Linked DNA regions of Alligator mississippiensis. The protein of the gene in region 3 purifies or fractionates together with the protein of the main gene of each other region. This does not show direct contact. Links are inferred from orthologs where the notes say so. Each region holds a gene or a part of one and is shown on either strand. Other genes may lie near its edges.

Region 1 (7,108 bases), about 200 Mb from region 3:
CCCGCGCCGCGCCGCGCCGCCCCTCCGCCTCGCGCTGACCCGCCTCGTCTTCCCAGCCCGCGCCTCTGGCTGTGCAGCTGCCCCCTGGCACGGCTGAGCCAGGATCCGGGCCGGGCACGGATCATAGAAACTTAGGGCTGGGAGGGACGTCAGGAAGTCATCAGTCCCACCCCCTGCTCAAAGCAGGACCATCCCCAGCTACATCATCCCAGCCAGGGCTTTGTCCAGCCAAATGAGAGATGCAAACACAACAGGTGTGTCCGCTGTCCCACGGCTAACGTGTTGTTTCCTTCTTTCTCCTGCATCTTTATTGACTCTTACATCTGATCTCCATCGACTGGAGGCCATCGGAGAATGGGGAGTTTCATGGCTATTGTAAGCCTGAGCTCATCCCCTGTTGGGGCACTGGTCTGCCATGCAGTGGAGGGAAGCACTGTTCCTACAGGAAGGTATGAGGCTGTGGAGTTACCTCCTCCTGCCTCTCTGGCTTTGTCCCCATGATTCTTTATTCCCAGTAATCCATGGATTGTAAACAGAGGTGGGAATAGGAGCTGCTGGGGTTGTGAGACCAGAGAGGGCCCAAGAACAGGCTAACCATTTATGAGATCCCTGGAAGCACGCCTCAGGTGAAAGGCATGACCTGAATTCCATTCAACAAAGGATTTCACCTGTGTGAAGCCCAATAACTTGGGTTTGTCTTCCAGAAAAGCATCCCACCCCAATCTGAAGATAAGAAACAAAGAACCCACTTTGTCCCGGAGGGTCCGCAACCTGTAAACTAGGATTTACAGCACATCAGGTCAGCCTTGGTGCATGTCCCCAAATGCACGTTAGTCTGGCTTGATGTGCATCAAGGTGCCACTTCTTAAGCAAGGCTTAATGCACATTAGCTTATTTGAATGCACAGGAAATAAAAAGCACAGGGCGCCTATACAGAGGCTGCTTCAATGCAGTGGAATTCCAGCACCTCAGAACAGACTTGATGAATCGAGTCTGGGCAGGGCCTGTTGCTGGAGCATGGCAACTGCTACACTTCAGCAGCACTGTACCTAGACTCCTGGCAGCTCTGGACGAACTTTCCCCCTTTGCAATAATAATTAAAAAATTACTGTTTTCAGGCCCCCTTTCTGTCCAGGCCCCAGGCGGCCACCCATTTTGCCCGAGCCCATAGGCAACTAGTAGGGCAAGCACAGGGGAGCACATGTCCCTGCTGCTGACACTGCCGGTGACTTCTGTGGGTGCTTGCCAGCTTTGTCCCTGCCACTGATGCCACTGGCAGCTTCTGCGGGTGCTCACCAGCTCCATCCCCGATGCTGATGCCGGCTCCTGCAGATGCTCGCCAGCTCCGTCCCCACCATCACCACCGCTGCCAGCTTCTGCAGGTGCTCCCCCAGACTTAGGAGGCACCAGTCGCCCATGTCCATGCCTGTGTCCAGCCCTGCACTCCAGCAGCCTCCTGCATCTCATGTATCAGTGTCCTGATGCTTAAAAATGGTGTTGGAACAAGCTTTAGTTCAAGCCCCCTTGACACTGTTTTTAAGCACAGGGATGCGATACAGAAGACACAGTAGCTATTGGAGCTGCTCTAATTAAAGTGCCATCTCCCCCACCAGAGCACATGTAAAGGTGACCACAGTTTTTATGTGATGCTTTATGTGCATTAAAATAGGCTAATGCACATTAAAGTGCACATGTAGGTGTAGATGTGCCCACTGAGTACCTTTTCTGGTCCTTCACAATTTGGGCCCGATCCAGTACACACCAAAGTCAAAGGAAAGACTCCTGGAGACATGGACAGCTCTTTCCTTTGAGACTAGCCAGAAACTGAGGAAGATATAATAGTCATCATGTGTCAAGGCCTGTGATGTTGAAACTAAAAATGGCAGGTACATTGTTCTACCAATAAAAAGCTCAGCCTATTTGGCATACCAAAAGGAGAATCTGCTGGCAGTCAGGATATTATGTTCAGGTTCACAATATGATCCCACCTGTGTCCCTGGGCTCTTCAGGCTTGGTCCCCACTCAGAGATACCTAAAGGCAGGGCAGGAATAAATCATGAACCAAGCAAGCCTGGGGCTGGTACCCAGCTCTTGGAGTCATCTGATGATGCTGGCAAAAGAGAAATAGACTGATAGGGCTCCCCGTATGGCTTCCAAAAATGAGAACCCCCCCAAAAGAATAGTTTCTAAAGCAGCAAGACCAGGCATGTCAGGCAAAAGTCCTTGGACTGTGTCTCTGCCAGAGAAGAGCAGGTTTGGATTCAAAGGACCCTAAAGCAGTGGTTCTCAACCTTTTTTGTACCAGGACCCATTTGTAAACATCAATGGCCAGTCTCTGCCCAGTGCCCTTCACTCCTGACCCACTTCCCCCTGCCCCCCAGTGTGTGGGGCAAGGGGTGTCTATGGAGCATGGGGAGCCCCAAACAGCCTGTTGCAGGCTGGAGCTCTGCCAGCCTGCAAGGGAAAAGGCACAGTTTCCTATGTTTTTCTCTTTTAAAGGAGAACCCATTTTTAAAGTTTGTTCGCAACCCTTTCAAATATTCTTTTGATCCACTTTTGGGTTGCGACCCATGGGTTGAGAAACACTGCCCTAAAGGACAATCTTTGTGCCCCACTTCTGAATTTTTCAAGCATGCTGGTCTAGGAACACTGTCTGCTCCTTTTCCCAATTGTACTTGTGTCTAGGCCTTTGGTCTTTTATTTGCTGGGAAGTTTCTTCCATCATTTCAAGCATCTGTGCATGCACCCTGAGAATCCCCCAGGCCAGGACTCTGTGGGGCACTTGCCTCTCTTCTTGTGGAACCCACCAGGTGCTACCAACACTCAGAGGAAACCAGCATATCCCACATGCATAATGCCAGAACTATTGAGCATTTTTACATGCGTTTCCACCCTGGCGCTGGGCGCTTTTAATTAGTGAGCCGTGCTAATTAAAAGCACCTGGTGCCACGTCAGGAGCACATGTATCAGCAGTGCAGCGTGCCTCTGCACTGAGAAAATAGCAGCAGTGCACTTTGAACTAAAGCACATTGAACGTGTTTTAATTCAAAGCGTACCGCCACCATTTTCTCAGCGCAGAGGCACGTTGCATGTGACACGCAAGGCTGCCAGAGCATGTCAATTTACATAAATTTGATCCAGCAGAGTTGATTAATTGAATCTATGCTGGCGTGCTGGATTTCCAGTGCATCGGAGCAGGCTCCTTGCACGTGTGTAAGTGCTCATTCTATCAGGCTACAGAGCATCTTGCAGGGCATGAACCTTTGGGCATAAATACACATGGGCGACTGGTGCCTCCTGAGTTGGGCGGGCACTTGCCCCCCCCTCCCCCCAGTGGCCAGTCAGCGACCTAAGTGGGGAATGCTGGCTGTGTGAGGGGTGCATGTGCACCCATTTGCGCCACTGTTTATACACATATTTTTCTGTCCCATGACCAGCTGGAGATCCACTGCTTCAGAGTCTGCTCTACAGGCGAGCTGAAGCAAACCGCGCTGCACCCTGTGCAGCTGTACAAGTGGTAAAATGTGCATCAGTGCACAGAAAATGGCAACGGAGAACTTTTGAACGAAAGCACCTCCAATGCGTTTAGTGCGCCACTGCCCTTTTCTCAGCGCTCACGCTCATTTTGCCACTTATACAACCTCAAGTGTTGCAGTGCTGGGCGCTTTTCAAAGTGCCCAGTGCTGCGGTGTTTGGATGTGTAAAATGCCCTTTGTGATTGGGGAATAATGGGAGACGAGGTTCTTTGGGTAAACACGATATTTTTTATTAGACCAACTAATGAATAAATATGAATTTATCAGGCCAACTAACGAACAATAAAATTTGTTTTTAATAATAATAAATGTTTTTCCCCCAGTTCATTGGGTAACAAAGCCACACAGGAGCCCCCTCCCCTGGCTGGCTGCCCGCACGGCAAGCCACCACGCTCCAAGCAGGACACCGGCCCCTTGCGGCAGTGAGGTCCGCGCCTGCGTCTGAGGAGCTGCTCAGAACTGCTGGCAAGAACGGAGAGTATGCGCGCATGCGCCAGCGCTGGGAGGCAGGGAAGGGCGTACGCTCCGTGCGGCTTGACGTTGCTACGCACGCACGCACGCACGTGAGGCGCCCAGTTCCCGGTCGGAGCGCGGAGGCCGCTGTCGGAGTGGCGACTATGTCGGGGGCGGCGGGCTCGGCGGGCTCGGCCCGCAAGCGGCTGATGAAGGAGGAAGACATGACCAAGGTGGAGTTCGAGACCAGCGAGGAGGTGGACGTCACGCCGACCTTCGACACCATGGGGCTGCGCGAGGACCTGCTGCGCGGCATCTACGCCTATGGTGCGCGGCTGGGGCAAGCCGGGGAGGGGGAGCAGAGGGCAGCGCGTGCCGGGCCGTGTGCGCACGCGCGGAGCTTCCCGGGCCCGCGCGCGCCCCGCTTCCGCCCTGCCGGGGAGCCGTCCTACCCCTGGCCCTAGCGATGTTTGACAACCCTTGATCCTCTCGGGTTATGGTGTATGCACGAGAGGTCGCCCAGAGGAGATTTGGGCTGGTCAGACCTTGCATCCCCCCCTTTAGGGCACTGAGACAGAATCCAAAGGTCAGACTGGGTTTAGGCGCTTGGTGCCTCTGTGACTGTATTTGTGTAAGCATCTGGGATTTGAACCCAGGTCTCCTGTATGGGTGATAAGGAGTCTATTACTGAACCACAGGGGCCTCCAACGGGAGGTGTAGGAAGACATCAAACAACATGGTGTCAAGTTTGTTCTTTCTAGAGAGCCCAATGTGGGGGAGCTATCCAAGAAGAGAGAAGAATGTGGACACAGTTTGCTGAGAGACAATGCAAGTTGCAATTCTAGGGTTTCTCTGGACATAGCAGCTAAATGATTGCAGTGCACTGCTATCCTGTGCACTTTTGTATCACTTTAAACTAGGCTAATATTGCTGCAGCTTGTTACATCTGCAGAAGTCAGCTGTGCTGAAGTGGGGCAGGTGCCCCTATGTACAAGTGTCCAGGCACCTTTGTACTGACCTAACCAAACTGGCTGAAAACCATCAAGTTAATGGAACAGTCCCTACGTCAGTGCTTCCCAAACTTTTTCTCAGCATGACCCCACTTATGACTCCATTTCCTCAGCATGGCCCCCCACTCCCAACCCAGATCCCTGTTTATTGCGACCCCATTTGCTGATGTTGCGACCGCATTTGGGGTCACGAACCACAGTTTGGGAACTGCTGCCCTACGTGCTTCTGAAAACCCACTTCTTACACTTGGCTTCACACATCAGCTTTCAAATTATTTGAAGCGCTACTTCTGTGCACCTGTGAGCAGGCATTTAAAAAGGTGTCTTATATTATTTCAAATGTTGCAGGTTTTGAGAAGCCATCGGCGATCCAACAGAGAGCAATCAAACAGATCATTAAAGGAAGAGATGTGATTGCACAGTAAGTGAAATTATGTGATTGAAGGAAGAAAATAATATAACATGTTTGTCTTTATAAAGTGGTAGAATGATGTACCCGTGATGATCCAGGAATTATGCAGGCGGCAAATTCTGATGAGAAGTGTCTTGTATTCAAAAGCTTGTCTAAATGTATTCCAACCATGCAGATGGGCCAATAAGATATCACCTACACAAAATCCTTGCCCCTCACATATCTTTATAAAGGTGCTCCACACAGGAAAGAATCAGTTGTTTATTTTTTTTAATATAAGTATTAAAGTATAACCAAGGAATAATATAACAGTTATGGATATGTTTTTTAGAACTCAGAGTTGCCTATTTTAACATTGTAGTTCAGTGATCTACAGCCTTTTTAAGGTGAAGATCACTCTTTGAAGTAAAGGGCAGTCCAGGATCTATTGTGCCCCACTCCCACCATCCTCCCACCCAGCAGGTCAGTCTGTAGGAGGAAGGGGGGTAGGGGGAGGCAGATCGAGGTCCCCACGGTGAGGGAGGGAGGGAGTGGGGCAGGAGGGAGTGGGGTTTCGGCTGGGCTGGGGAAGGGTTGGAGCATGGGTGGCTTGTCCAGGCACATAGTGGGGGTGTGCTGTTGCACTCGCCCCTATGGAGGCCCGGGGGTATGTGCCCCCCCCCGATCTGTGCACAGGGCGAGGTGGCTGCTGCTGCACACTGGGCTTTGTGCCCCAAGCTGCAGCAGGGCTCGGGGCACAAAGCCTAGCATGCAGCGGCTGCTGCCTCACCCTGCACACAGATCGTGGGAGCACATGCTCTCCGGGCCTCCATGGGGTGCATGCAGCAGAGGGAGACCCCCCGTGCGCCTGGATGAGCCACCCTGGGCTCTGACCCTCCCCCAGTACAGCCGGGGCTTCTGTCACCAGGTGGCAGGGGGTGCGGAGGAGGATTGTGTCACTCATCCAGCCTGGCCCCAATGACGGGGCATGGCTCAGCCCAGCCACATGCATCCTGCTGCTCCCCACGTGTGTCCCGCTCCTCCTTATTGCGGAGCCTCTGACAGTTGATCTTAGTCTGGGTGGGCTAGCAGCCACCCCCTCTTCCCCCCAGACTGAGATCAACTGTCAGGGACTTCCAGACCAACCAGTTGATTGCAATTGACTGTTTGGTGATCACTGTTATAGTTAATACATTTTTGGTAGTGTACACAAGCAGTCAGCAAGAAGATATATAGGATGCTTCACCACGGTGTTGTAAGGAATATGGCACAATAGTTAAATGCACTGTAAGTGTGAGAACTCATCCACATGTTAACTCCTGAAACTTGTTATAAATGCAAGCATTGGGGAAAGTAAGTGCAGTTGCATCCACAATATTAAATCCTTATTTTGATAAGCTCCCCACCCTGTTTTCAACTGTAGCTGACAAGCAGCTGAGATGGGCTTTGCAGTTGATCTTTTTTGTCAACCAGGCATATCTGGTGGCTTTAAGTTGAACTACATGAGGAGAAAAAGCTTGTTCTTCTCTCCTTGATAATGAGTCATTCATGGAGAAGTAGGGCTGGATGGGACCTCCAGAGGTCATCTAGTCCAACTCCGTGCCTGAGGCAGGATTATCTCTATCCAAACTATCCCATAGATTGATGGATTGAACACTCAACAGCTTTTTAAAAAATCTGCTTGTTTTTGTCTATAGGAGTTTATTGGCCCTGGGAGA
Region 2 (7,965 bases), on a different chromosome or scaffold from region 3:
ATATTTACATATGTTAACTGGTAGCGCCAACATAAGTCATTGCTTGCATGGTGAATTACAGGTTTTGTGGTTGTAAAAAAAAATGTTTATGAAATTGGAAAAGTTGACTGCTAAAGCTATCCACCTACTGTATGTCTAAACTAAAGCTAGTACTCCCATCTGGAGGGTAACAAAATTAACTGCTTTCAAAACATATCAGTGAGTCAATTGTGCATTAGTCTGAAGGGGAAGGGTTGAGATTTAAGGAATTCTTCCCAACTAGTTTCATTTTTGCTTTCATTCTGATACTTAAAAAAAAAAATGAAGTAGCAACGCTATATCAGTCACACAGAGGACATGCAGATTTTAGCAGTATTGATATTATACTCTGATTTGAAGATACCCTGAATCTACAAAGTGTACAAACACTACGCAACGTTAACACTTGTAACCAAATGCTGCATGACAAAGTGAACCGCTACGCCCACCCCCGGAAGTTCTTTTAAAAAAAGTAAAATGGAATAAAGTTACAAAAGCAAGTAGTTTTTGCCACAATTGCTAACAGGGTTTTAAGGAACAGAGCAATTGTAGTCTACAATAACTAAAACATGCCTGAAAAAGTTACAAGTAGATGTAAGTACTCAATTAACCATTGTCATTCAGTATAAGGTCAATACTGCCAATTTCATCTGTGACAATAGCACTTGGAGTCATACCATTGCCTCCATTATTGATCTGATCCTCCTCAATCCTCCTTTTGACAATCCTAAAATGATTGACATGTGCTCCACAATCCTTTAATCCAAAGCATTCTTAATCCATCTCTTCAGATATGTCTACAGAAAGACACATGAAAAGGCAAGGTAAAATATAAGATCCCCCAGAAGAGACAAGTTAGCCACAAACATCCCAACATCCCCAGCTCGTATAAACCATAGCTGAACACTGAGACATTTACACAGCAATACCACAGTCTGAAGAGTGTGGGTATTTACTAGAACTAAATTTAAACAATCCTGACTATGACATCAATTAAAATACAATTTACCAAAGACATGAGGGGGGAATGTTGATGTTAAGGAGCAAATACTCACTAGGGATTTTACACAAGAATGCAATTCAACACTTTAGCCAATTTGAATAAAACAGTCTGAATTAAAAAAAAAAAATGAAAAGACTGTACTGAGTAAAGAAAATTGTGTACAACATGGGTTCTACAAAAAGATCATAGCTAATGGTCATTTATGTACGAGAACGAGATCTGCTGTGACGGGGAGAGTAGCGTGGAGATCCTCTGCTTCTTCTTGGGGAATAACTGCGGCTTCTGCTGTTGCTTCGACTACGGCTCCTGCTACGACTACGGCTGCGTGACCGAGATCTTCCATAGCTTGGGCTTCTTGGGCCATCAACTTTAACACGGATGTAGGCAGTTTCTCCCTATTAAATAGACACAACTTTCGATTGAAGGGTCTAAGCTTTTCAGCTGTCTTTTCAGGCATGCTGAGTACATTAAGTAAGACACAGTCTTTTAAATAAAAGCTGCTCTGTTTCTCTTGTGCTAACGAGGACTGCCTTACAATAAACCACATCAGACTCCATTTTTTCTATGGGCGCCAGCTGACACAGTTGAGCCTTCACTTCCTTACCTTCAGCTCCCATTGTTAAGCCCTGTGTATCCAATTCTGGCCCCAAAATAAGCAGGGAACCTACCTCATGAGATCTAAACTTAGTGTTATCCAGTTTTCGCACCGCGTAGGTCATATCTTCTTTCCGCACAAACTCCACGACACCAGTGCCATCTCGGAAAACATCAGCATAACATACATCACCTGCTTCACGCATGTGATCCTTCAAATCCTGCCAACTCCCACTTGGAGGCAGTCCTGAACAAAAACAGGTCGCAAATTACCCGGGACGTCCACGGGGTTGTTTATGACCCAGCCGCGCCGTTACGTGCGGCCGGGCACAGCAGGTGCCTAGGTGATTTGAATAAATTACCCCCCGGGGGAGGCTTTCGAGTGCTATAAATAATAAGCGAGGGCTGCGTAACGAAGCTCCTCGGGGGAACGCAATCCCGCGTGGCTCAACAGCGTCCCCGGGGGGAAAGCCGCCCCTCGCCCCGCCCTCGTACGGCCGCCGGGGAACGGGCGGGATCTTACCCGAGACGATGACTCTGTACTCGGAGCGCCGGGACGGGGGCCCGTACCTGCCCCGCGGGGCTCCGCCTCCTCCGCCGCCACCACCGCCTCTGCCGGTGCCTCGGCCGCTCCGCGGGAACTCCACGCGCAGGCGATACCCGTCGTAATCGTACCCGTCCCGTCCGTACACCGCGTCCTCCGCGTCCCTGCGAAGCGGGGCGGGGTGAGCGGGGCCTGCCCAGCCGCGCCCCCGCCCTTTGTTCCCCCCCCACACTGCTTTCCCGCCGGCCACGCCCCAATTGGGGGGGGGGGCAAATGGCAACATCCCCATGCTTGGGGGGGGGGCAACAAAGTGAGAACTCCCCCCATGCCTGGGGGGGGGGCAATAAAACAGGAACAACCTCATGGTTGGGGGGGGTCCAGGCAGAAACAGCCCCCATGCAGGGGGGAGGGGCACAATTTAGTAAGGGGGTCCGAAGCACCACGTGGGGGGGGGGTTGTGAGGGGGTCCCAGGCACCATGTAGGGGGGGTCCCAGGCCACGTGCAGGGGGGGGCGGTATAGCGGGGGGGGGCGGTCCCGGCCCTCACCGCGGGTCCTCGAACTCGACGAAGGCGAAGGGCGGGCCGCCGCGGCGGTTCTTGAGGTCGATGTCGCGGATGGCGCCATACTTGTAAAAGACGTCCTCGATGTCCTTGGTGCGGATGTCGGGCGGCAGGTTGCCCACGTAAATGCGGCAGTCGTTGTTACCGGCGGGGCCGCGGATCACGCCGCCTCCGGACATGGCAAGGTCAGCAATGGCTGCGGCGGGCGCGGGCCGGAGCGCAGAGAGAGAGAGAAAAGGTAGCGAGCGGGCGAGCGCCGGGCACGGAGCGGACGAGAGGAGCGAGCGCGCGACGGCTGCAAACACGGCTGCAAAATGGCGCCCGCCGCTCCCTCGCGGTGTTGCTGCGCGCAAGGATCCCGCCGCCGGTCGAAGCACTCCTTCACCCCGTTCGGACTGCGTCGCGGTGTCGCTCCGCTCGCACCGCGCATGCGCCGCCTGCAGGGAAAGTAGTCCCTGCCTTCAATTGCTTCGCCTAGACAAATGCTACCGTGGAGCTCGGCGGAGCGCCGCGCGCCGCGGATTGTGCGGCCTAGAGCCGGCCTTTGGGGCGTGAAAAGCACTCCTTTGCCCCTTCGCGAGGCGGAAGCCGTCACATCCGGTGAGGAGGCCCGGTGAAGAAGATCCGGCTCAGCTCCGAGGGGAGGGGGGCCCATAATGCAACGCGCGGGCAAAGGGCGGGGGAGCTTGGCGCCAAGGAGGGGCGTGGCCCACAATGCACCGCGCGGGGGCCTGGCTGCTTTATGTGCCCTAAGGGAGCCTGGGGGAGGGGCAGGGATAAGCAACAGCCTCCACGTTCCCCCCTCAGTCTGAGCAAGGGGTGCATTTCCCTCCTGACCCCACATCCAGCAGCGGCTCTGGGCATGAGAGAAGTCTGCCCAAGCCAGCAATCCTGTTGCATTGCCATGAGGCTGAAGTTGGTTGCTTATTCCCAGTTCCTAAGGCAGGGGGTCAAATAATGGGAGTCAAATAATAGATATATGCAAGCATGTTGGTGCTCTGGAAACCTCCCAGATTAAATTTGTGCAGGGGAAGGGGATCCCTGCCGATTTCCAGCACCGCGTCCGTGCCTTGTGCACCCTGCTCGTTGCCTTGGGGTGCTGGTTTCCTTGCTCTCCTAAACCCATCTCGACCGCCGCACCGTGCCTTTCGTGCCCTGCTCACTGGCGACACATGGGGGGCACGCGGGGGCACGCGCACCCCCGGAGATCGGCGGTGCACCCCCTGCAAAAAGCGCTGCTGATGCTGCTGGTGGTTGCCGCTTGCCACCCCCTTCACCGCTGAGTTTCTTTTGCAGAGGAAGGTAAATTTCCCTCTGAAATAAGAGGGGTAATGAGCAGAATGATCTGTCTCTAGGTGACTGGTTACTGCAGAAACCAAAGTGTACATTTCATAGCGCTGCTTATACAGGTGCTCCTCAATTAACGTCTTCCCAGTTAATGTAGTTTCGTTATTACATCGCTGCTCTGTTAGAGAACGTACTCGTTTGAAGTGGTGCAATGTTCGGTTATAATGTTATTCAGCTGCCACCTGCTAGTAGGTAGCTACTGTGACGTAACTGGATTCACTTAACATGGTTTCATGTAAAGTCGCATTTGTCAAGAACGTAACTACGACGTTAAGCAAGGAGTAGCTGTACTCCTATTCCTGGTTTGAGCAGTGTCTGTTCAGCTTCTTTCCCAGCGTAAGCGTTCACTACATTTTGGTTAGATCAAAATGGGGGAAATGGTATATCTAAGGGAAGTATCTTTCCAAGCTGCCTGTCTTTATCTACATGCCAATACAGTCACTCCATCTTAAACTATCAGCCTGACAGGGAACTGACACCTAAGTCAATGAAAAGCAAACTATACAATTTATGTGATGCGCTCATCCGTTCCTAACTAGACACAGGTTTGCTTGATTGTTTAGGAGAGCCGAGGGACCTTTATTTTTACGTCCCTTATTTCTGCAAGAGCTTTTCAAGGCACCTGATTTGGTCCCAGCAATTTATTTTTTTTAAATGCCTATTTAATTGCAGTCGCCAATATATTGACAAGGTCTGTTTCTCTTAAGGGACATCTTCCATTCTGCATTCATTATGTGCCATGTGTGCTGTTATACGCATCTTTTACCATGTCAGGTTGGTGCATAATGTGAAAGCTCCATAAGGAATTGTGGGGAAGGGAGAAAAGATTGGGAAGGAAATGGGAAGAAGCAAAAAATATATATCGTACAGCTTGTGGATATTTGGATGATGGTTTTTGCATACATTTTAGTATATTTTTCTGGTGTGTCATTCCCTCCCTGGTTTTTAACGGTGGACCTGAATACAAATGCTTCTGAACGTAAAAGGGGAATTTAGAAAAGAGCCTGGATCATGCATTAAGAACCCAAGACTAATTTTCAGAAGTAAGTTTAGCAGTTAGGCACAGGTCATCAAGGGTAATTAGGCACCCGACTGACCAACATGTGGGTCTTAGTTCCTGAAGTCAGTAGAACTTGAGTTCCTGAGGGCATATCTACCCATCCTCTGTGTTGGGCCTGGGTAATCAGCTACGAAGCATGCCCTTTCCATTAGGCACGCACCAAATCCCATCCTACAACAGTGCCTGAGTAAGCATCCCTGAGACAGGGAGCCTGAGGAGGTGCTGGGCATGCTCTTAGCTTGGCTTCAAGGCAGCTACATGGCTGCACTTTGGGGTCTGGGGTGCCTAGAGTGGGCAAAGTTAGTGTAGACATGACTTGTGTGCCAGAGGGACTTGGGTTTGGTTTGCACACAGCTTTCCTATCCATCTAAGTATTTGACTTAGGATACCTTTTTGATTTTTAATCAGTATAGTCACGTGTTCAAATCAGCAGGTCCAGATGCTGTCCACCCCAGGGTGTTGAGGGAGCTAGCAAGGGTTATTGCAGGGCCCTTGGCACGGCTTTACGAGTACTCGTGGTGCTCAGACCAGGTGCCAGATGATTGGAAGATAGCCAATGTGGTCCCCATCTTTAAAAAAGGGAGGAGGGAGGACCCAGGCAACTATAGGCCCATCAGTCTTACCTCAATCCTGGGGAAACTCTTTGAGAAGATCATCAAGGAGCACATCTGTGATGGGCCGGCATTGGGGATGATGCTCAAGGGCAACCAGCACGGTTTCATTAGGGGCAGGTCATGTCAGACCAACCTGATTGCCTTTTACGATCAGGTCACAAAAGCACTGGATGCAGGTGTCACCGTGGATGTAGTCTTTCTGGACTTCAGCAAGGCCTTTGACACTGTCGACCACCCCATCCTCATTAAAAAACTAGGCAACTGTGGCATTGATGCCTACACAGTCAGATGGATTGCAAATTGGCTGAAGGGTCATACTCAGAGGGTGGTGGTGGATGGGTCATATTCAACCTGGGGGGAAGTAGGCAGTGTGGTCCCCCAGGGCTCGGTCCTTGGGCCTGCACTGTTCAATGTCTTTATCAGTGATTTGGATGACGGGGTGAAAAGCAACCTGTTTAAATTTGTTGATGATACGAAAATTTGGGGTGAGGTGGGCACGCTAGTAGGGAGGGAAAGACTGCAGCAAGACCTGGATAGGTTGCAGGGTTGAGCTAACAAAAACAGGATGCGTTTCAATACGGACAAGTGCAGGGTGCTGCACTTGGGCAGTAGTAACCAGCAGCACACTTATGAGATGGGAAACTCCCTTCTTGAGAGCACGGAGGCAGAAAGGGATCTTGGAGTCATTATTGACTCCAAGATGAACATGGGCCGACAATGCAAGGTCACGGTTGGCAGGGCTAACCGGACCTTATCGTGCATCTCAGGTAGGGCCCAGGAAGTGATCCTCCCCCTCTACGCGACACTGGTCAGGCCACAGCTTGAGTACTGTGTCCAGTTCTGGGCACCCCACTTCAAGAGGGATGTGGACAACATTGAGAGGGTCCAGAGGAGGGCCACCCGCATGATCCGGGGACAGCAGGGCAGACCCTACAATGAGAGGCTACGGGACCTGAACCTGTTCAGCCTTCACAAGAGAAGGCTGGGGGGGGACCTGGTGACCGTCTATAAACTCACTAGGGGGGACCAGAAGGGTTTGGGGGAGACCTTGTTTCCCCTAGTGCCCCCCAGGAGAACAAGGAATAATGGCCACAAGTTGTTGGAGAGTAGGTATAGATTAGACATCCGTAAGAACTACTTCACAGGGCGGCTAGGATCTGGAACCAACTTCCAAGGGAGGTGGTCCTGGCTCCTACCCTGGGGGTCTTTAAGAAGAGGCTTGATGCCTACCTGGCTGGGGTCATTTGAGCCCAGTTTTCCTCCTGCCCAGGCAGGGGGTCAGACTTGAAGATCTACAAGGTCCCTTCTGACCCTACTTCTATGATTCTATGATTCATAGAATCCTTAGGGTGGATGCAGTGCATCTTTTAGTGGTATGGAGGGCATTTCAGAAACTAATGATGAAATAGCTGTTGTCTGCAATGAAGTGGGAAACTACACAGTAGTGGGGAATATTGATGGCAGTGTTGTCAAACGCACCAGTCGTTTACGATACATAGAGAAGATGTAGAAAAGTCTGTCCGATAAATGATTGTTGCACGCAAATTGCTTTATTCAAAATGGTTTTATTTTGAAATTGCTGTTATTTTCTGGAGCACCCTCATAGATTATCTCCCTTCCCTTAGTACAGTGGATTGCAACTTTTTTAGACTCGAGGCACCTTGGATAGATTTGAGGGACCTTTCAGAAAATGCCAGCTTAGTTTTCAGTCTTTTTTTTACAGAAAAAATAATGGAGCAGTTTTTCTGTTGCAAAGAATAGACCACAACTGTGCATTTCTACCAGAAATCTCTGGGTTTATTTTGTGAATCATGTTTGTAAACAAAGGATGCTAACATTGTGCAGCACCCTGCAGCACCCTTGAAGGGCTCCCAAGGGTACCATGGCACCCTAGATGAGAATCACTACTTTAGTACCTTTATTACAAGCCTAACTGTGTCCACACTAGGGGGGGTTACATGACTTTCAACTAGAGTTGAAGATATAAATTGGTACAACTGTTGTGAATGGATGAGGCCTTTAGGCTTTTAACTTGTTTGTGGGCTTTCAAAAACGTTCCCAACATTGTTAGCAGTGTCCATTTTCTGCTATGATTCATTTTCATACGTTAAGTAAAAATACATATTTCTGTGAGATAACAGCAATCATCGTGATACACCATGAAGAGAATATTTTCAGAGTAATGTAATTCTATGCCAGCTTGACTATTATAAATGCCTTTCA
Region 3 (7,246 bases):
ACCCCCTGCCACAGGCAGGAATGAATGCTGGGTTCACAAGACCCCAGACAGATGATCGTCCAACCTCCTCTTCAATTTGCCCAAGGTAGGGGCGAGGACCACCTCCCTGGGAAGCTGGTTCCAGATTTTGGCCACCCTAACTGTAAAATCTTGCCTTCTGATCTCCAACCTAAACCTGTTCTCCATCAGTTTATGACCATTGTTCCCTGTCATCCCAGGTGGTGCTGGGGAGAAAAAAGCTCTGCCTATTTGATCCCCCCTGATGAGCTTGTAGGCAGCCACCAGGTCCTCCCTCAGCCTCCTCTTGCTGAGGCTGAACAGATTCAGGTCCTTCAGTCTCTCCTCATAGGGCCTGTCCTGCTGCCCTCTCACCAAGTGGGTGGCCCTCCTCTGAACCCTCTCCAGGCTGGCCACATCCCTTTTGAAGTGCGGCGCCCAGTACTGGACGCAGTACTCCAACTGCGGTCTGACCAAAGTCACATAGAGGGGGAGTATCACCTCTCTGGCTAGGACCAGGTCCAGCAAGGCATTACCCCTATTGGGGCTGTGCACTTCCTGGATAAGATGAAGGTTCTGTAATACAGCCAGGAACCTACGCGAGCAGTCAGACCTGGCTGTCTGCTCCTCCCAGCAAATGTCTGGGTAGTTTAGGTCACCCATGACAATAACATCCCTTGACCTAACCGCCTCCATAAGCTGACTGGAGAAGTCCTGGTCTAGCTCTTCCCCCTGGTTGGGTGGTCTGTAGTAGACACCCACTGTAAGGTCCCTTTCGCCACGTCTCCCTTGTAGTTTGAACATAGCTGTGCTGTATTTGTTGCAGCTGTTCTTTTATGATACCTGATCCTAAGCATACATTCCTTAAGTTTTGCAAATGGAGGTCTGTGTATTAAGGCCTAAACATGTATTACTGGGCCAGATATAACTCATTTTAACAGTGTAATGAGTTGCATTGTTGTCTTGGAAATTCCACCCTACAGATGGCAATGATGTTGAATTACTTCCTTTGATAATTCAAGTGATAATTATAACTTCATACCATAGGGTTGGCTTCTTTGTCAATATTATCTCTCACAAAAGGAAGGGAGAGGAGCGAGGGTACACTAACTTAGGTTTTGTTGGTTCTCTCGTCTTATTTTAGCAGTGGTATAAATCAAAATTAAAAACTCAGTTTGTATTGATATTACATTACAGAGAGCTAGAGATAATTAAAAAATAAACTGGGTTCTTTTTTCTTCTTTATGATGTGTGTAAAAGACCTGAAGGTAGGGAAGGAATTTTAAATTTTTTTTTGACTGTTTGGCCATTTTGTTTGACTGTCCTGAGTCCTAGAAATGCAAGTGCAAAAGTACAAACTGTAGCTCTACACCTTTATGCATGTGTATTATAATAATCAATGATGAGATCACAGGCTACTTTTAAAAAATGCACAACATATTTCATATATTTTCCAGTAGTGTTAGGTACCTGATTCAGATAAGCGCAAGTACAGGCTTATTCAGGGAAGCACTTTAGTTTATCAGTGCTTTAGATATGTAGGTATTGCAGGAGCACCCTTGTAAAAATGCCAGCCCCTGTTGCTAAACAGGAGACATAACATAACTAGGTTCATTTATTGCATCTCTCTAAAGCTCTGGTTTTGCTGGAATCATGCACATTCTTAGCTTTATGCTTTGAGAGTAGTTCTCCTTACAGAGTGCATAGTTAAGGAAGAGTATAAGCCTTTGCAGGATTATCATAAATGTGTGGTAGGTGAGGAGGCACAAAATTGTTACAAAGAATGATCTAGAAAAGAAAATATGCTAGACTATGATGATAATGGAATGGTTCTTTTAATTTTTTCTAAATCAACTTGTAAGTGTGAAGTTTTTTTTCTCACCCTCTTGAGCCTAGTTATCATCACTACTATGAAGATATGAGCGTAGTTATTTTATTTCTGATCCTCATACCAGAAACATACATTTATCCTGTTTCTGTGTTCCACTTGGCAGAGCACAACAGCTGATCTAAGACTGACATGATGCAATGTTAAATTATTGGAAAAACTAGGGTATAAAATAGATAGCATATGGACTTGGTTGTTCTAGTCTGTGATATTATGGGAACATTTTAAATGATTTGTTGAAATCCAATTTATTTTTAAACTACTTGTAGTTAAAGCACTTTATTGCTACATAGTTATCTGCTGTAGACATCTGTTAAAATCTTTACCCCTTAGAGAATTTTGTCTTGTTCTAGAAGCATAAATCACATTAGCTTCTTATAAGCTTTTCCATATATTAGAAAATGTTGGAGATGATTTAGCCCCCAAAGCTTGAGAATCAATTTGCAAACATGAAACCGAGCAGAACAAATGTAGGAAGCTATTTCAGAACATCAGTTAAACTTCATCAGCAAGTGACAGAAGTGACAGATACAAGACTACTTAGTATATAGAAGTGTTTCTACATTTCCCATTTAAACAAGTCTCTTTAAAGCCTGTGAAGTCTACCAGTGAAGTCCACCAATAAATAACAATGATGCCTTAAGACAAAACTACCAGGAACTTGGCTGGATTCAGGTAAAAGGCAACATAATGTATTATACATTGCAAAACAAAAATGAAAAATATCATTGACAGCCCTGCATATTCTACCTACAACAGGGGTGGGCAAAATGTGGCCTGTGGGCCATTCTATCCAGCCCATGGGGCCCCTAAAAAGTTTAGAAAATTAATATTTATCTGCCCCTGGCTGCCTGTCATGCGGCCCTCGATGGCTTGCCAAAACTCAGTAAGTGGCTCTCCGCCCAAAATAATTGTCCGCCCCAGCCTACAAACTACCACTGCCTTGAACCCACAGAGGCAGGCTCAGAAGCCTATTTAGTCATTTGTCAACATTTTGTTAACTATTTCACTGTTCATCATGGCATGTAAGAGAAGAGAAATCAAAGAACTGCACCATCCACTTGGAATGGAATTTAATGTGGATGCCTTTCCCCTGGCCTTTGAGAGAGAACTGGTGTCCTGTGACTCCTACTAGCATAACTAGTGGTGGCAGCAGGGCACCTGCCTTGAGCATTCACTTCGAGGAATTACCAAAACACCCCCATCCCCAGAGCCTTTGCTAGGGTAGGCAAACCCCAGGCACAGAAGCCTGGCAGGCCCCTGGGATTTTTGCTAAGGGAGGTACAGCTTCTGGCTCAGTAGTGTAGCGGGTGGGGGGGGTTGCGCACAAGGCACCGGGAGCAGCCCCTGGGCAGCCTGTGCTGTGGGGGCAGCCAGCACATGACATCCAGCTGCAGCTCCTTGGGGCTATCTCAGTACCTTGTTCACTGCCCAACCCCCTCCAGATACGTTCCTGGGCAAGGAGCTATACTTCCCATGGCAACGTGCCCTTGGGCGTACGCCGTTCTGCTCCCCCCCCCACACATACAGATTGGGTGCTGGCCTGCCCCCCATTTATCTTGCTGGGATCCTTTGACCCCAGCTGACTTGCTGCCCCTAGAGTGGGGGGCTGGACTCAAGATCTTCCAAGGTCCCCTCCAGCCCTAATGTCTATGAAATCTATGAAATCCTGCAAAGGCTTCTGGGCCTGGGCTGTGCTTGTCCTAGGAGACTCCCTCAGGGGGTCACTGGTGCCCCTGCTGTGGCTGGTGTGCGGGGAGCTTGCCCTTCAGCTACAGCAGCAGCTGACACCACAGCATGGGGAGGCTGGCGCAGGCAAGACACCCCTCAGCCCTGGTGCACCAGTTGCTGGCACTCCGCCCAGGGCACGGCAGGCACTTGTGACACCTCTGCTTGCTCCCATGTCACGTGTTGAGGCAACAGGCCATCACGGAGGACGTGTGAGGTCCACATGAGCCAGCACTACCCCAGCCACCCTGAAACCAGCTGCAGGCTATGTGCTTCCCTGGTGAGTGGGGCCTCTCCCTGCTCTGCTGCCTGCCTGCAGGCTCAGGAGCACGTTGCTTGCCCCCCCCCCCCATGCTTTCCACCAGGCCCCACCCCCTTCACGGCCAAACCACGCCCCCTTTGGGCACGAAACCCCACCCAGCAGACCAGGTCTGTCCCTGTAAACTGCGCATGCGCCGAACCATCTCCCCGTTTGCCACTGTGAATTGCTCATGCGTAGAACGATCCTCCCTCTCCCCTCCCTCGCGCGTGCGGACGCCCGCCCCGCCTTCTCTTTGCTGCGCATGCGTACGATCCCCATCCAGCCTCCCGCGAGCTCTCGCGAGAGGGGCAGTTGAGGCTGCACCCCAGACATCCGGGTAACTTCCTTGGAGGCCGGAGCCGAGATGGCGGTTGAGTCTCGCGTCACGCAGGAGGAGATCAAGAAGGAGCCGGAGAAGCCCATCGACCGCGAGAAGGTGCCGGCGGGGCCGGGCCGGGCGGGGCGGGGCGGAGAGGGGCCGCGGGCGGCATTGACGGGCTGTGCTCGCCTTGCAGACGTGCCCGTTGTTGCTGCGGGTCTTCACCACCAACAACGGACGGCACCACCGCATGGACGAGTTCTCGCGCGGCAACGTGCCCTCCAGCGAGCTGCAGATCTACACCTGGTGCGTGCCCCCCCGCGGCCCTGCCCGCCCCGCGCCGCCTGCTGCTGACTGGGAGTCCCCCCCCCTCCCCGCCTGTTCTCGGTTCAGGGGGGAGGGAAGGATCAGCGGGGGCTCGTTCTCGGGGCTGGCGCTGGAGCTGGGCAGGTGTATTGGAGCCCCCCACACCTGGGGGCTGGATAACCCCCTTCCACTCCCACCCCCCTCCCATTGTGGAAACAGCAAGGGGCTGGGAGGCGGTGCAGACAGATGTCACAGAAGACGCTCTGCCTTCAGATGTCTTTATCTGACCCCTCATGCAGCGAGGGTTCAGGTTTTTCCCCTTTTCGGCCATTTTCAAAGCAGTCTGCGGCCATGCGCTTGTGTTTGGTCACGGCTGTTGCCTGCTTTCTGTGTCCGCGTCGGATGAAGAGTGTCACTTGTGTCTGCGCTCTTAGAAGACGAGAGCTGTGTTAGGAGTCTTGTTAAGTGTCAGGGCTAAGCCCTCCTTGTTCATGGAGTTGGGGGGGAGGGAGGGAGGGTTGGTCAGTTGCACCTACCCTAGCAAAGACTGATGGGTTCCTTGTGCAAGTTGCCTGACATCTCTCTCTCTCTCCCTCTTTTTTTTAGTTATTTTTTTCACTTCCTTAGTCTCTCTTGTAAGGGTTTAAAAAACAATACAAAAATAAGTGGTTTTATTGCTGTCAGCTGAAGATCCCTTTGTGCTCTGTAGTGTATAAATGTATAAAACCAGGTCAGTGCCCTAAAGAACTGTGTTCTGAAGTAGACTAGAAAATGGGTAGAGAGGTCACGGCAGTTTGGAGCGGAGCCAGGGTTAGACCCCAGACTTTCTGAGTATGAGATCACTACATGTTTGGGGGGTGGGAGGGAGGGGATATCCTAGCAGGTGTTCTAGTTACTAGTGAGTACTCATCCTGGACATGTTTTGAATACTTTGAATGTTGAAAGGAAAATACTTCAAAACCCAAAATACTTAACCACGAAATGCTTCTTGTGTCATTTAAATACATAAAAGTATTGAGTTATGCAAGAGAGAGGTGTTTTTAGAGTTGTCTATGATTTAGACAAAAAGTCTCACAGATGACATTTTTAGTAAGTGTAAGATTTTTAAGAACTTCAAATAAAAAAAGAAACCCTCCCCACCTTAATGATTTTTTTTTCTTTTTAAAATCTAGGATGGATGCAACTTTAAAGGAGCTGACAAGTTTAGTGAAAGAAGTCTATCCAGAAGCACGGAAAAAGGGAACACATTTCAATTTTGCCATTGTTTTTACAGATCTCAAGAGACCTGGTTATAGGTAACTGACTGAAGTCTTATTTGCAGTAACAGTTTATGTTCCATGTTGTATGAGAGAAGTTCTTCATAGTAACAGAGTGCATGGCAATCGCTTGTTAATATTTGATTTTTTTTTTTCAGTTACTATTCCTGTTTCTCTTTTCTAAAACACTGAGAAGTGTTTGCCTAAAGATGTTGGTCACTAGATTATCTGCCACCCAGAATACGCGCCTGTAGATAGGAGTGGAAACAAAAAGGCTGTTTCTGGTAGTAAGGGTAGTAACTGTATCACCATCAAGAGTTTGCTCTTAGCACAAATTTATTTTTTTTAATTAAAACTGGATAGGGACAGTTTTTATATGAGCTCACCAGAAACTAGTTGAAAAAGCAGGGGCTTGGGTCCTGCTATATTTCTTGCATTTTCTTTACCACTTCTCTTGTGTCTAACTTGCCAGATACTTCAAGCTCTGACAGGGGAAAAGTTGATGCAACTTTATTTACTTATTTTATGTCTAGTGTTGTATCAGAGAAACAGCTAATACTGTATTAAGAAGGGAGGCAACGTCTTTGTATCCCACTAACTGAGGAAAAACTTAACAGTTCATCCCCTTCAGATCCTGTTTAGTCTGCAAATCTCTCTGACATTAAAAAGAGACTGACTTGCTCTTTTGTTGTGTAATGAAATGACGTTTCATATCTTCCCTTCAGGGTGAAAGAAATTGGCAGTACGATGTCGGGAAGAAAGGGCACAGATGATTCCATGACGCTGCAGTCTCAGAAATTCCAGATAGGGGACTACTTGGATATAGCAATTACGCCTCCAAATCGGGCACCACCCCCATCAAGCCGCATGCGACCATATTAAAGTGTCATTTTTTTGTAGATGACTGTATCTTCCAGTGGGTTTCACATGCTGTAGGAAACAGGCCTTTTTTATTACTATTGCTAAGCAAGATCTGAAAACACTTCTAAGCCTTGACAACAAGAGTTAAATAATTAATTTTACTGCGTGAGTTTAAAAGAAACAGTATCTGAATCTGCTTTGTTATCTCTTCTTTCCTAGCTGTTATGATATGAAAAGTGAATAGAAATGTTCAGTGTTTCAAGATTTATGTAAAATGTGACTGAGAGCTTAGAAGTGCTCTTACCATTCTGTTAAAAGCCATGTAGAGTGGAATAACATTATTATTGTTTTGAACATGTTTCTGAGTTTGAAGACTAGATCAGGCCTGATTTAATGGTGGTTGAGCTTGATTAAAAACAAACCGCTCACAGGAGAGAGAGTGCTTTTCTTGACTGACTTGCTACCTAGCAGCATGTGAACAGTGGCATCAGTGGGAGAATCCTTGTGTATGATTACTTTCCAGAAGTAAGTCTCCAAACAACATTTTGTTTGTTGTTTTTTTTTAAAGAGTAATTATCTTTCCTTATCAT

The links. Proteins that work in one complex are often made in the same cells at the same time.
Region 1: the proteins of SAP18 (region 3) and EIF4A3 fractionate together in Homo sapiens (co-fractionation; 3 studies listed by BioGRID and IntAct, with this or other methods). This does not show direct contact. The link is inferred for Alligator mississippiensis from reciprocal best matches to the Homo sapiens genes SAP18 and EIF4A3.
Region 2: the proteins of SAP18 (region 3) and SRSF1 purify together in Homo sapiens (co-immunoprecipitation; 4 studies listed by BioGRID and IntAct, with this or other methods). This does not show direct contact. The link is inferred for Alligator mississippiensis from reciprocal best matches to the Homo sapiens genes SAP18 and SRSF1.

What each region holds. Positions count from the first base shown.
Region 1 is NC_081824.1:234,479,161-234,486,268, forward strand, and holds the start of EIF4A3 (eukaryotic initiation factor 4A-III), read left to right. Parts: upstream 1-4,085; 5' UTR 4,086-4,153; coding exon 4,154-4,316; intron 4,317-5,347; coding exon 5,348-5,420; intron 5,421-7,108. UniProt on the Homo sapiens protein: ATP-dependent RNA helicase. Involved in pre-mRNA splicing as component of the spliceosome. Core component of the splicing-dependent multiprotein exon junction complex (EJC) deposited at splice junctions on mRNAs.
Region 2 is NC_081837.1:6,053,391-6,061,355, reverse strand, and holds the start of SRSF1 (serine/arginine-rich splicing factor 1), read right to left. Parts: upstream 3,024-7,965; 5' UTR 2,901-3,023; coding exon 2,707-2,900; intron 2,324-2,706; coding exon 2,139-2,323; intron 1,863-2,138; coding exon 1,690-1,862; intron 1,417-1,689; coding exon 1,222-1,416; 3' UTR 1-1,221. UniProt on the Homo sapiens protein: Plays a role in preventing exon skipping, ensuring the accuracy of splicing and regulating alternative splicing.
Region 3 is NC_081824.1:433,379,591-433,386,836, reverse strand, and holds SAP18 (histone deacetylase complex subunit SAP18), read left to right. Parts: upstream 1-4,231; 5' UTR 4,232-4,278; coding exon 4,279-4,350; intron 4,351-4,429; coding exon 4,430-4,539; intron 4,540-5,711; coding exon 5,712-5,834; intron 5,835-6,520; coding exon 6,521-6,677; 3' UTR 6,678-7,089; downstream 7,090-7,246. UniProt on the Homo sapiens protein: Component of the SIN3-repressing complex. Enhances the ability of SIN3-HDAC1-mediated transcriptional repression. When tethered to the promoter, it can direct the formation of a repressive complex to core histone proteins.